Rhinolophus ferrumequinum: one gene and its partner. The protein of the gene in region 2 binds, or shares a complex with, the protein of the main gene of each other region. Links are inferred from orthologs where the notes say so. Each region holds a gene or a part of one and is shown on either strand. Other genes may lie near its edges.

The links. The genes of interacting proteins can lie anywhere in the genome.
Region 1: the proteins of SMARCAD1 (region 2) and TRIM28 are in contact, whole or in part, in a crystal structure (PDB 6H3A), measured with the Homo sapiens proteins. The link is inferred for Rhinolophus ferrumequinum from reciprocal best matches to the Homo sapiens genes SMARCAD1 and TRIM28. Residues at the interface, in NP_001362784.1 of Homo sapiens: Asp156, Leu157, Ala160, Lys161, Gln163, Thr164, Glu167, Leu168, Phe169, Asp188, Gly189, Ala190, Ala192, Leu196, Ala201, Gly202, Gly203; in NP_005753.1 of Homo sapiens: Arg330, Trp333, Thr334, Lys337, Ile338, His341, Leu376, Lys377, Ile379, Val380, Asp381, Val383.

Annotation. Positions count from the first base shown.
Region 1 is NC_046298.1:50,976,849-50,983,848, reverse strand, and holds the start of TRIM28 (transcription intermediary factor 1-beta), read right to left. Parts: upstream 3,009-7,000; 5' UTR 2,960-3,008; coding exon 2,617-2,959; intron 2,297-2,616; coding exon 2,181-2,296; intron 1,967-2,180; coding exon 1,834-1,966; intron 589-1,833; coding exon 520-588; intron 167-519; coding exon 31-166; intron 1-30. UniProt on the Homo sapiens protein: Nuclear corepressor for KRAB domain-containing zinc finger proteins (KRAB-ZFPs).
Region 2 is NC_046288.1:46,988,462-46,995,676, reverse strand, and holds the start of SMARCAD1 (SWI/SNF-related matrix-associated actin-dependent regulator of chromatin subfamily A containing DEAD/H box 1), read right to left. Parts: upstream 3,014-7,215; 5' UTR 2,876-3,013; intron 2,743-2,875; exon of another isoform or gene 2,537-2,742; intron 2,253-2,536; 5' UTR 2,204-2,252; coding exon 2,014-2,203; intron 1-2,013. UniProt on the Homo sapiens protein: DNA helicase that possesses intrinsic ATP-dependent nucleosome-remodeling activity and is both required for DNA repair and heterochromatin organization.

The sequences.
Region 1 (7,000 bases), on a different chromosome or scaffold from region 2:
CCCCCACCCCGGCCCTATCGCAGGACTCACTGGTGGTCCTTGTGGGCGTTGAGCTGGCAGTCCCGGCAGGTGAGGGTGTCACAGCTCTCACAGAACAACACGAGGGGCTCGTGCTTGTGAACGTTGCAGTACACTGTGCGCTCGCCATCTCGGGACTTGGCTGGCCCTGGGAAATGGGTATCTTAAGGAGGGAGCCCAACCTCAGCATGTCCAACTCGGGGCCTAACTTCCTGCCTGTCCTGCAGCCCTGGGCTACCTACTGGGAAAACCCAGGGGCCCTGCAACCAGGGCCCAGGAAGAGCACAGGCCCCAGAGCCCAGACCCTTCCTCTCAAAGCTTCCTGTCCCAAGCCTGACCAAGAGACCACCCCCTCCAGCTTCTGGCAGTGTGAGGATGATGGCCTTTGACAGGATACCTCCCCGCTGCTGGTCCCTCTACTGGAACCTTCTCCAGGTGGACACTCAAAAGAGTTCCTCCGCCTCCGAACCCCCCACTGGGTTCCCTTTCTCTTCCACTCACAGCAGGCTCTGTCCAGCAGGGGGGCTTTCTGGCTACTGAGGCATCCCGGGCACGAAGAACATTTGCTTTCTGGCACAGACAGAAAGCGAATCAGGGCCTAGAGGCACCACTCAGGCAGCTTCCTCAGGAGCCATGCCTGCTGACCTCCCCTCTTCTTTGCTCAGAGAAGGCCGTGTACCTTACAAGCCATAGGCCCTCAGGCGGCATTGCAGAGCCTCCTCAGGCTGGCAGAAATGAGGTGTCAGACCAGGACTCTCAAAAAGGTGTCAGGCCCCCTGGGGGCGACAGGTCCCGGTACTGTTATACCACCCAAAGACCAGTATACCACATTTACAACCCCCTCCCCACCCAGTGTCTGTCACCATTAGAAAGCTGTTTGGGAGTCTGTTCCGCTTTCTTCCTCAATCCCAAAAACATCCCGGCAATACCAACCCAGCCTGAGTTATGCGATACTGAGATACAAACCAGGCATCAGCTCCTTCAATGTTACTTCATCCTACACCCTGACCTTTGCCTAAAATCCAGGATCCTCTGCCTGTCCCTCCTCGCTCCTCATGCTGCACAGCCACCACTGCCATCCTCATCTTCCCACCAGTACTGTCCTCTGTGCTGAAGCTGCCAGTGTAACTACCAAAAGGCCACTCAGAACTTGTACATGAAAAACCAGGCTAGACTCAGAAAGCTAACAAGTCAGTTGCCATACCACTGCCAGCATTCACAGAAAGTCTGGAAATACCCAGCTGCGCTTTAAGACACCCACACCCCAAAGATAAAACGACTGGCAGTAATGGCCCGAAGGCCAGCCCTCACAGCTTGTCAAGACGCTGTGGCTGGAGGGCCTTTCTCCTACAGAGCCTTAAGGCAGGTGCCAAGGAACCCCAAGTCAAGAAGGCCCCTCACATCTCTCTCCAAATACCCTGCATTTCCCTGTCTGCACAGGGCAGTTCCTCCACCACAGACAGGCATTTCCCTGTCTGCACAGGGGGGATAGCGGGGAGCCTCCCCTGATGAGCTTCCTTGAACCCTCTGTACACTCTGAGGCACAATGAGGTAGGTCCCTGTGAGCTTCTTCAGTCTCCTGTGCACACCCCCCGCCCTCCGCAGCACCGGGGGCCTTTCTCCCCCTCCCCCACCTGGACCATAAGACCGCATACCAGAGCCCCAATCTTCTGATTTTGAGTTCTGCCACCAGGCCTTTCAGGTAGTGCCCCCTAGTGAAGGTCCTGGGACAAATCCACCATCTGCAACCCACTTAAGCAGCTGAAGACTTATGTAGAAGGGGAACCCAGGCCCCCCTCCATCCGCCTTGTGTACCAGTGGAGCGCACGGTGTGGTCCTTGGTGTACTTCACCCGCTGGTGTGCCTCCACACATGTCTCACACAGTGGCTCAGAGCACTCCACACAGTAGCTGGTGGCGGGGGCATTATCCTCACAGCTAGTGCAGCACTGCCAGGCAAAGGTAGAGTCAGGAAACACAACCACCAGAAATGCTGGCATTTGCAATCCAAGAAACGTTAAGTGGTGCCTTTACCTAGCCTGAACAATTTGCCCAAATGCTCACAGTGTAGGAAGAATAAACTGGAAATATAACCATGCCCCTGAGCTGATGACCCCTCCCCAAGGCCCAAAGCCTCCTAAATGTTGCTAGAACGGAACATACCTGATTCGCATCCTGGGAGTCAGCGGCAGCCTTGCTGCCACTGTCACGCATAAAATAATTCTCCACAATATCTTTGGAGAAGCACTGCTGCTTGCACACAGGACAATCCACGACTGCTGAGAATAAAAGGAATTGAAACCATTCCATGATCACATCCAGACTATATATAACCCCATCGTCCCACTGGACCCCAGTTTCCATCTCAGGCATCCCATGCTGGGCCGGACCTGCCCTCCCAGAACAGAAGCCAAACAAACCCTTCTTTCATCGAACTTGAAGCACACGCCCCATCTCAGCGCCCGGCAGAGCACTCTCCGGGACCCTATCCTCTCGCCTAGCCGATTCACCCGCCACACACTAAGCACAAACTCCCCATCTGCGCGCCAGGTCGGGATCGAAAGCTGCCGGGTGGAGGGCGGGGTCAGACTGTACCCACCGGCTCCGTCCCCCGCCGCGCCGCTGTCCCCCGAGCTGTTGGCGACGGAAGGCGCCGGGGTCCCAAGGCAGGCGCTGCAGGCCGAGTGCAGGCAGGGCAGCAAGCGCGGCTCCCTCTCAGGCCGCAGACGCTCCCGGCAGACGCCGCAGTGTTCCAGCAGCTCCAGCGCCTCGCCGCCGCCCCCCGCAGGCGACGATGCCGAGGCGGAAGCCGACGCCGAGGCCGCGGCCGCGGCAGGGGAACGTTTTTCGCCGCCCGCCGAGCCTTCACCCGGGCCCGGACTGCCCGAAGCGGCTGCCGCCGCCGCCGCCGAGGCCGAGGCCGCTGCTGCCGAGGCCGCCATTCACACGCCGCCGCGGGCGCCCAGGGGGAGGAGGGGCGCGGGGCCCGCCGCGCAGGCGCAGATGCACTCGCCGCCAACGGCTGGGTAGCTGCCGATGCCGCCGCCGCCGCGAGGCCGAGCGCCGCCACGCGCCGCCTGGGCCTCCGCCCGCTGCGCGCAGGGCGCTGCCGAGGCACGGCCAGCCGCTGCCTGCTCGCCTCCCGCCGACGCCGACGCCCGCGCTTCCCTCTCGGTGGCCTCGGAGACCCAAGACACGCAACGCGAACAACCGCTCGCCCGTGCGCCCACTCGCAGAAAGAGCCGCGGCTCGGGGGCGGGACAGAAATAACTGGCGCCGACGCCGTTGCGCAGGCGCGCTGGGCGCCTTGAGCTTGGGGGCGGGGCCCGGGCCGATCGCTATAGAAGAGGCAGCGAGTACGCACGCGCCTGAGTTGGATCCTCCTACCTTCGCCGGCACCACCCCGGCGCCGCCTGTGAGGCAGGGCGGAGCATCATTGACGTTATAGCCGCAACGTAGAACGCGCTCACGGTTTTTAGAGAGTGCTCCACCTCCCCTCTGGCCCCACAGTCTGGCCGCTGTGCTGCGCACGCGGATTGTCAGCCCAGGCCTCCACCTCAATCCCCGCCCCTTTGGCGGCCGGGAGACGTCTCCAGTCATTGCAATAGGCGTTCGGGAGAGGGGGCGGGGCCAAGACCTGGAGGAGACGGCGGGCCCGAGAAAGGGGCAGAGTGTTCCCATCCCAGAAAGAAGTTGCGTTCTGATCTGGCAGGCTGACTTTTCGGTTTTAACCTTTTCATTGTTTAACGTGAGAAACACTGAAACCTGCCCGAATCGAATAGGTCCCAAGGGGCTACAGAGCGGCGAGTCTTGAGATCACGCCTGGCCCACCAAGCGCCCCTTCCCGTCTCCAGCCAGCATCTGTGTTGACTTGGATGCTTTTCCAGGTGGCCGAACCGAACTTCAACGGAGGTGGACTTCTAGGGAGGGAAGCAGGGTTGGAGAAGTGAATCCTGTCTGCCGGGGTCAGCTCTTGAGAGGATGCAGAGCCGCAAGACACTGCTCGGAGTCTCCCTGGCTCGCACACGCCGAGGCTGCAGGGGGAGCAGTTGCAGCCTCCCTCACCTAGCTCCTCAGGCGCCACCCTTGGCGGCGGAGGCGTGCCTGGTCCAGGAGAGATAGGCGTAGCCTTTGTTCCCGAAGGGTACTGGGGGCCTTGGGGCTTTGTTTCGGCGCCTGCCTTTGTTCCAAGCCTGACGCTGCCCCCTCAGCTGCGTCGGGTGGGGCCACGCCCCCTACCCACCCAACCCCCCCCCTACCCACCCACCCACCCCCTCCGAGGCCCTGGCCGCGGGCCCTTGTTTTCTTTTTTCCTTTCTCTGGTAATTGGGAAGGAAAGTTGGTAGCTGGCCGCCCATAGGGTGAGATGTGACGTCCTTTAGTAGTATTTGCTGGATACTTTGGGCGACCCCGTCCTGCGCTGGGCCCCAAAGGGGGTGTAACCCATACCTACCCTGGCCCCTGGGGCAGACGAAGGAGGGAGGGGGGCACGTGGGTCAGGGACCAGAGAGTCAAAATAAGTAGTTGATGGTAAAGAGTGTGGGAGTGGGCTTCCGTAGGTGCTGTCCCCAAACACCTGCAGGAAAGACAGTTAAGGCAGAAGCAAGTGCAAAGGCCCTGAAGCTGACTGGGCACATACGGAGCTGGGAAGTGAGCAGGGTGCATCATACCTAGAAGTTGCCAGACAGCTGCCCTTCACTAGACTCTGGTAACTGGTCCTGTGGTTTCAACGGCCTGCCAAGGCCTATCCTGTTCTCTCTAAACAGTCTCCCCTTCCTCCTGGGCCCTGGACCTTCCCAGTACATGGCCACACAGGCAGGGTGCCAGCAGCAGGCCTTGGAGAGTGGCCTTACCACCCACTGCTGGGCCACTGCCAGCCCCCTTGTCCAAATAGGGAAACCAAGGCTTCTGGAAGTGCCAAGATGGCATTGGGACAGGGGGATCAACTGGAAACCAGGTTCAGGCGGACTCGGGCAAAAGGGGCATCCCAGGACTAGCTGAGCTAGAGTGGGCATACAAGCAAGCAAGGCCAGGGCAGAACCCTTGCAAAAAGGTCCTCTCTGAAGATGCAGCCTATCCAGAGATCCAGAAGACAGGTACATCTTGGCTCTGCCCCCCACCCCCACCCCCGGCCATTAGGTCAGACAGAGCAGTCAGTGTCATTTCTGCTCTCATCCCCTGTGCTCCCCGTCCACCCTTTACAGTATCTCACCCTTTCCAGTCCTTGTTCATTAGAAATTGTCTACATCCTGGCTTTGCAGACAGGTCTCAAGGGTGGAAACTATAGGAATCACTCATACGGCACCAAGGGCAGCCAAGGCCTGCGGGCAGCCACCTTCTCCCTTCCCCACACTCCACACCTGCACCTGGCTCTCCTTCCAACCTTCAGGTGTCACCCCCAAAGCTATTTCTCTGGGAGGTCTAGTGACTGCATCACTCCAATCTCTTACTCCATCTGCACAGATTTCATCTGGGAACTAGACAGTTGTAGTTGTAGGACAACATGAATATACTTAATGCCACTGAATTGTATGTTTTACAATAGTAAAACTGGACAGTTCATGTTGTGTATATTTTACCACACACATAAAAATCAGATTTTGATAAGAGCTTTGGGGTCGTGGCTGGTTCCTCTCTTCCTACACATTTCAACTACAGAGAATCACAAAGACAGGCGCTCCAAGTTGTTTGTGCTCACTGCAGTATCTGCCATGCCTAGCCCAGGGCCCAGTCCACCATAGGCACTCAGTACATGTATAAAAGGGCAAACAGACGCATGGAGATGATGACTGTCTGGAGTCTGCCAATTTTGTAGGCTACAAGATGAGTTTTGGATTCTACTACTTTTAAAGCTGTTTTTAAAATGTGGTGAAAATTCACATGACATCAGATTCATCATGTTAGCTATTTTACAGCATGCAGTCAGTGAGTGGCAATTTATACATTCACTATGTTGTGCAATCACCACCTCAACACCCCAAAAGGAAACCCTGTATCCATCAGCACTCTCCTTTCCCTCTCCCACCAGCCCCTGGCAACCACTGATCATCTTTCTGTTTCTATGAACTTTTTAACTTTTTGATGGAGGCTTTAATAAGTAGAGGAAAGCACACACATCTTACATACAGCAAGCACCCTACAGAATCAGCTCTGAGAGCAAAAAAAAAAATGGAACGTCTCTGGCTCCCAGGAGCCCTCCATGACCCTCATAGCCGCTGCCATCCTGACTTCTCTCAACACAGAGAAGCTTCACTGGTCTGCTTATTGAAACACGCCGAGTTTGCACGTCTGTCTGGTTTCCTTCCCTGAGTGTACATCCGTGTGACTGTATGTGGGCCTCATCACACAAATACCCTAGTTAGTTTGTGCATCCTCCTCTTGATCGCATTTGGGCCTCCCTCCTGCTTGTGCTGTAATGCACACAACCGCTGTCCCACATATGGTTTCTGATTGGGCTGTTCTTTAATTGTTAGGAATGACATGATCTGATTCCCATTTTAAGGGTTCCAGGTGGGGAGTAGATGGGTTGGAGACAGAAAACAAGAGATAAAAACACTCATGCAGGTAAGGCAGAGAAGGCACTAGACCCTCTAAATCACCCTTTAAAATCATGATTGTTCCTCCATTAGTTTCCTGTGGCTACTGTAACACATTACCACAAACTTGATGGCTTAAAACAAAAATTTAATTCACAGTCCTAGAGGCCAGAATTCTGAGGTTCAGATACAGGGAGGGCCAGGTCACAATCCCTCCGAAGATTCTAGGGGAGAAAGAATCCTTCTTTGCCTTGTGGACAGAAAAGGGACCACATGTTAAACCTGACAAGCTCAGGAGACTGAAAATGACCACATAGGACAGTGTGAACATAAAAATTCCTAACTAAGGTGGGCCATGGCAGGGAAGTCATATGCTTGGCCTGTAGCTTCCTTAACAAAGGTCAATCTTTACCTTAAGTGAGCCTATCTGTTGTCTTTTTGCATCCA
Region 2 (7,215 bases):
ACCATAACTTTAATTTAAAAAAAAAAAATCACATCTCTTTTTTCTCCATTTCTACTGCTGTTATTAAGTTTGCGTTATAAAAGCTTCCTAAGAAATTTCTCTCCCTTCAAGCCCTACCCTCTAAAAATATAGAGTACTCACAACTGCTAGACTGATTTTTACACAACTTTCTTTCATTTTATCCTTCTACCTAAAGTTTTTAATGGATCCCTAGTATCAAAATGTAAAGTCAAAATTTAGCCTTAGTTTTCAAGATTCTCCAAAATTCACAGTACCATTTACAATAATGTGCTTTAAACCAAAGCTCTCTATTCCTCATAGGATGAATTCTCACCATTCCCAGATGAACCTAATTTTCATATTTTCCAGTGTCATGAAGACTAACTACGAGATTCCTGAAGTCCCAATGAAAAGGAGTGAAGTCTCCTCAGACAAAAAAAAAAGTAATGCAAAAAAGCATCTGATTAGAAAAGGCAATTAAGAATTTTACATTACTAATATTGATAAATAACTAAAAATTCCATTGATTTCCACTTTACAAAGTGCTTTTATTTTACAAATGAAAAAATTGTGGATCTCAGATTTTAAATGACTTGTTCAATGTCACATTTAACTAAAACGGAGAAGCAGAGGCTAAGGACTCAAAATTCATGCCTACAATCCTGCCCTTCCCTGCCTTAACTATATAAGAAACATACTAATGCATTTACTGTTAAAGTAGTAAAGTACCTGGATGTTTAGACATTAACTACAGCATGTTATGCGAATCAAATTATCTGTTTAAAGAATAAACAAAGGGATATACCTCCTGTGCTTAACATCCTTCAGTTCTTCCCCACAGAATTCAGACAAGTTCAAAACCCTTAAGACAAAGCCTTTCAAAATCTGACTTCTAATTATCACTTAATTCAACCTACTATATCATTCCCCAATGTTCCAATTACACTAAAGTATTTTAAAATGTTATTCTATAACTTATAGGGATTCTGCCATCACTGTTACATTTAAATACAAGAGTACCAAAAAAACAGAGATACCCAGGGTTAAGCTAAGGCATATATTTTACCAATCTCGTCAGGGCCACCTTAATCTAAAAGCTGCTTGTGAAATACTGAGTTTTGCATTTAAAAAGGTATTACAGAAATAAACATTAAAACTTCTTATATCCTTTTTACCGTTCATCAGAAACTGTATGTGTACAGTTCCTGTTTAAGGTCAGGAATTAGACTGCTTGCCTCTGAGTTCTGGTTCTACCAACTTCTTAACACTTGAACCTCCCTGGATCTCATTTCTGCAAAATGTAGACATCTAGTAGGACTGCTGTGTAAATTAAATGAGAAAATGTGAAGCACTAAGCACTATGCCTAAACATAGTAAGAATTCAACTATATTCTAAATTTTTAACTGCCCAAAGAACATAAGATTAAAATGGAAATGCTAATTTTTGGCTTCTTCTCAAATCCTATTATCCCTGACAATCTGCTGGAGGTTAAAAATGGTTCATTCACCATGAACAATACCAATTATTCTTGAGCACTCAGAGGCTCTCCAGGAAGTAGTGGCAAAATCTGAATGTGATCTTCGTTTATTCAGAGACTGTCTTCAGGCACCTTGAATAGTTTAGCTAATAATAGGTGATCAATATTTTTGGAGAAATACTGGAATCAACTTAAATGTCTGGCCAAATAACTAGGTGATAAATAACTAGGCGATTCATAGGACTGACTCGCTTAGTTCCTCTTCTAGTAGCAACCACTCTGACCTAAGGATAACCTAAATTCTGACTTGAACTTCCATCATAGGGCCATTTTCCAAGAATAAAAGTGAAGCTTTTATGGATGGACACTTAGTTGGAGATACATGATGTCTATGGCAGTCCCAAAACTGTATTTAAAAGGGTACGGTGTAAAACAATGCATTATTAGGTATAACATCAAGAATAAAAATATCACTTCTGCCTTTCATCTTTTAAAAATATCTCCTGATGCTACATCAATTTGCATCATAACTCACCTGTTTTTTCAGTTATATCTGAATCAGGGGTGCCTGCCCTGCTAACTTCCCCTTCAGCATTCTCCTCTTCAGCACTAAGAGAAATTGGTGAAGAAGGGCCAGGCTGGGAGGGTTGAGGGGTTGCTTCAGGCGCTTCCTCAATCTTACTCCTTTTTTCAAAGCGAAAACGGTCCAAGTTGAAAAGATTCATATTGGTAGAAACCACCACCCTGTGGGGTTGGGAGTTTTAAATGAACTATCTGCAGGGAGAAAATAAAGAGAGAAAAAGAGGCCATGAAAACAATATAAAATACAAAGCCATAGCAGTTCATTCCCAAGGCAATTAAGAGCCCGCAAATGTGCCAGAGGCTCAGCATGGCCATTATGGCTGCGCTTCATTGTTAGGCCACAACGATTAGAAGGTGGACGGGGTATCTTTTTTTATTTTATTTTTCCACTGCTTCTTTTACTCCCCTTCGTTCCCCACCCCCCACGCCCCTCCTTCCTCAAACCACAAGCTGACCCTCGTGCAACCTCCTCTTACCCCAGCACGCGCAGGCACGTTCCCCACTCTAACCCCCCTGGGGGCCGTGCGCCCGCCCACAGTAAGAGGCTCCCTGCCCTACGGTGCACCCTGCCTCGAGAAAGGACGTGCCAGGGCCCGCGCCTCGACACTGCGGGGACACAAAGGGGCCAAAGCAGGGGAGCGGCGGAGGCCGTGCTGGCGGGCACCCGCCCGGAAGTTGACGCGGCGCGATCCCAGCTGAGAGGAAGCTGATAGGATCAAGAAAACACAGGGAAGGTTCAGAGGTGGGCAGTGTGCCGCGGCATCTGTTTCAATGCTCACTCGCCCGTTTTCTTTCTTTCTTCTTTCAGTACTTACAGTCTTGCAGTCTTGGTGCGATGTAACAAAGATTGGAGGGAAAAAAAAAATTCCTGGCTTGCGGCGACAGGAGCCGGGCCGGGACGTTCCAAAACAGCACAGAGAAACCCAACGAGCGCGTAGTGATGACGCAACACGCAGCCTAGGCTTTTTTCTTCCCCAGCGACGCACCAGCGGAAAATGTCTAGGCGCGCGCGCTGTTGTCATGGTAACTCGTACCCGCCCCTCTCTCTGGGAAGAGCGCTTATGGCCTGTTTCTCCAGGTTAGCTAGAGAGTTGTTAAATAGAACAGTAATAAATAGAACAATGACAATAAATAGCATAACAATAATATATAATGTTTGATGTTATAATGTATATTTTATGTAAAATATAAATAGTATCATGATAATATGCTAAATGTTTTACGTGTATAATCTGAACCATTAAAGGAATCTTATTTTTACGAAATAAGGAAACCGAGGCCTGCAGATGTTAAGTACTTAATTAGTAAGGAGTAAAAACCCAGGTATGTTGAGCTTCAAAGCATCTGAACTGCCTCCCCACTGTCGTCTGGGTTGTTCTTAGAGTGGAATATGACAGTTCACCTATCTTGATGGAAATAATACCTTAAGAGTATTTACTCCTGTTGTTCTAACATTAGACTAAGGCAGTTTGGAATTATAATTTGATCCTCTTAAAAGGAATTACTACGAATTATCATTCTGCCAAATACATTGGTCGTTATAAACTTAAATTCGCATTGTCTTATAAGTCAGTGTTTCGAATTATAACACTAACCCATAGGTTTGTCAGATGTGGATACACTTACAAAACAAGTGTCTGAACCCATAAAATTCAGGACAAAAGCCTGAACAACTGGGATTTCCATTATACCTATCTTTGATATCCCGCGAAATGCTCTAGCTTTTTGCATGCATGTTAAATGATGTAATCAAAGGATACGTTCAACTTACAAATAGTAAATTATTTTTGGTGATGAAGAATATTTCCTTTAAGATCTCTATTATCAACTTGCAAATATACAAGACAGCATTATTAACTGTAGTCACCATACTGTATATGTAATTTAAAAATATTTGGTTTGTATTCAAACAGATCTAACATTGAAAATGGATTTCACTAGTGAACGACTGAACAAATTATATATAACTTTTCTAAGCCTTAGTTTCCTCATCTTTTAAATATAGTTGGTGATGACTCAGGACAATATTCTGCAGCAGCCCTAACCCTTTGACATTTTGTACAGCTGGGGCAAGAGTTAAAACGGAGACCTGCGTACCAAATACCTAAATATTTAACTATCATAAATACAGTTAAAAAATGTAAAAAGAAGATGTGTTCTATTTTCCTGTTTTGAAAATGACCTGGAAAATGAGGATGAATTTAGAATTCCTGTGTGTCAGACAAAATACGGGTGATTCAAGGAAATAAGATTGGCCCATGTATCCTGGCTTTCCTATGTTACCCCCACCCCCACTCCAATACCGTTTATGGGCCTTGCTCTCATGCATATGGTCACCCAGCTAAATTGTCCAATTCTGACCCCACCTAGAGTTGCCATATTTGTTGGGGGAAAAAAAAAAGGATGGTCTGTTAAATTTGTATTTTAGATAAACAACAAATACTTTTTTAGTATCAGTGTGTCCCATGCAATATTCAGAACTTGCTTATACTAAAAAAATTATTTGTTGTCTGTCTGATATTAATTTTAACAAGATGTCCTGTATCTTATTTGGCAAACCTACCCATGCCCCACTGCTTGGTCACCTCTTGGGCCTAGGGGCCTTTTGCTACATGTTAGGCCTAAGGATATTGATACTAGAAGCACTGTTGGCCATCAGCAAGAATGACTGGGGAAAAGTCACTGTTAGCTTTTTTGGAGTTGTGTGAACAGATAATTTCAGAAAAGAATTTCAGAAACCAGGTACATAAAACCACTGTCTAAAAGTTAAGGCATAGGTTCTGAGTTAATATGTCTTCTTATCCCCACGGATTCCTTGATCTTTGGGGTGGGGCACAGCTGGAAAAGAGCTAGATTGAACCTCTAAGGCACTAGGTCCTATACAGGAACCACTCTTGCCCAGTTGTAAGGGTGGGGTGGTTCTGCAGCATTCTTTAAATAACCTGGGAGGATTGGAATAGTCCATGTTTGAGATTTTGCTTGATGGTGGATCAAAAGGTTGAGAAAGTATATAACAAGTACCACAGACTGCCATAACAAAATATCACAGACTGGTTGGTTTACACCACAGAAATTTATTTCCTCACAGCTATGAAGACTAGAAGTCCGATATCAAGGAGTTGGCAGGGTTGACTTCTGCTGAGGACCATGAAGGAAGGATCTGTTCTAAGCCTCTCTCCTGGAGATGGCTGTCTTCTCCTTTACATAGTCTTCCTTATGTACTTGTCAGTGTCCAAATTTCCTCATCTTAGAAGGACACCAATGTTATTGGATTAGGGCCCACCCTAATGACTACATTTTAACTTAATTACCTCTCTAAAGGCCCTGTATTGAAGTAGAGTCACTTTCTGAGATACAGGGTTAGAACTTCAACATATGAATTTTTGGGGGGACACCATTCAGCCCATAATAGGGCCAAGAGAGTGGAAGGATTCTCTATATGGGCCCTGAAATCTTCTATAATGATAGCAGTAAGTGGGGCTAAAAAGCCAGTCCTCTAATTTATTTTTCCTTCTGATCCAAAATATGGCCATTTTCCAAAGGTCAGTTGTAGGTTCTCTACTGTCTTTTCTTTTCCCAGAGTGGACTTATTATGGTGGTGACTAAATATGTTTGTCAAGTCTTACTCAACTGTAGACTTAAAAGGGGTTAATCTTACCGTTTACAGATTATAACTCATTACACCTAACAATTTTTCAAAGTAACTAGAAAAATTTAATTATTGATATGGAAGAAGAAGTGGAAAACCACCTTTCCCCCTAGAATGCAGATGAAAAAGACAAGGAGATGAAATCCATGAGATTTAAAGAAATGATAAATATAGGAGTCAGAGAACTGAGGAACAGCCTTTGATTAATTAATATAATTAGAGGAAATAATACACATGTACAAAATGAGTAGAATAAATAATGAAAAATATAATAGAAAATGTTTATGAGCTCTCATTAGTCTGCAAGTGAAAGAGCGCACTGAATTCAAGACAGAATCAATTAAGAGAGGCTATGAACTAAAAACATGCTGAAGAATTTTTTTTTTTTTTTAGTTTGAGGAATTTAGAAAATGTCTTGCAAGCATTTTTTTTTCACACGAAAAAAAAACCTAACAACCTACAAAGGGACAAAAAAAATCAGTCAAAATTTGTTCATTAAACTAAATGCCAAAAGGTAATGAGGCAATATCTACAAAGATTCAGAGGGAAAGTATTATGACTCAGCAATTTTCTAAATCACATATATGTCATTCATTTATGGAAGTAAAAAAAAAATTTCAAACTTTTAATTCCTGGAAAATATATTTCCTTAAAATGTTTCTGAAGACATAAATCCAGTTGATAGGGTCAAAAATGAAGATTTCAAGAACAGAGAATTCATGGTGTAAAAGTATTCTGCTGAGATAAACACAGATAGAACTTAATAATTATAAATATGGTGTATTAGCTTTTTGTTGCATAACAAACAACCACAAAATTTGAGTAGCATAAAACAATGAGCTTGATTGGCTAGTGTGGTTCAACTTCAGGCTACAAACCTATCTACATGCTCAATAAATATGTGTTGAGTAAATGAATGATATTAATAACTAGATAAAGTGCCTAAGTATACAGATAACCACAAAGAAATTTTACAATAAGCCGAAGATCTTCAAAATGATACATGCTATGGAAGAACAACATAAACCAGAGTTTAAAAATCTCAGGAAAGAAGTGATATAACTTAAGAAAGGAAGAGAAGTAAAAGAAAAAAAAATCTTAGAAATAAAAATTAACCTAGATGTAACACACCGATAAATGTAAGAGATAATGCCTTAAGAGAAATAGAGGGTAGAAAGGGAAAAAAACTAAAACTAAAAATACAAAGGTAACTAGATTTCAAGAGAAAATAATAAATATTGAAGATAAGCAAAGAAGATCCAACATAATTACAATCGGAGTCACTACAAAAGGAAACCCAAGCAAAGAAATGGAAGAGATAACTCAAAACTGTAATTCAAAAAAATATTTCCTGAAACTGAAAATTATAAAGGTGTAAAACTATATATTGAAAGAGAACATTGTTTATCTAAGCATATCAACCCAGATATCCAACACCAAGACATATCCTAGGAAAACTTAGACTTCAAAGAAAAACGTTAAAAGTTCCTTAAACACTTAGACAAA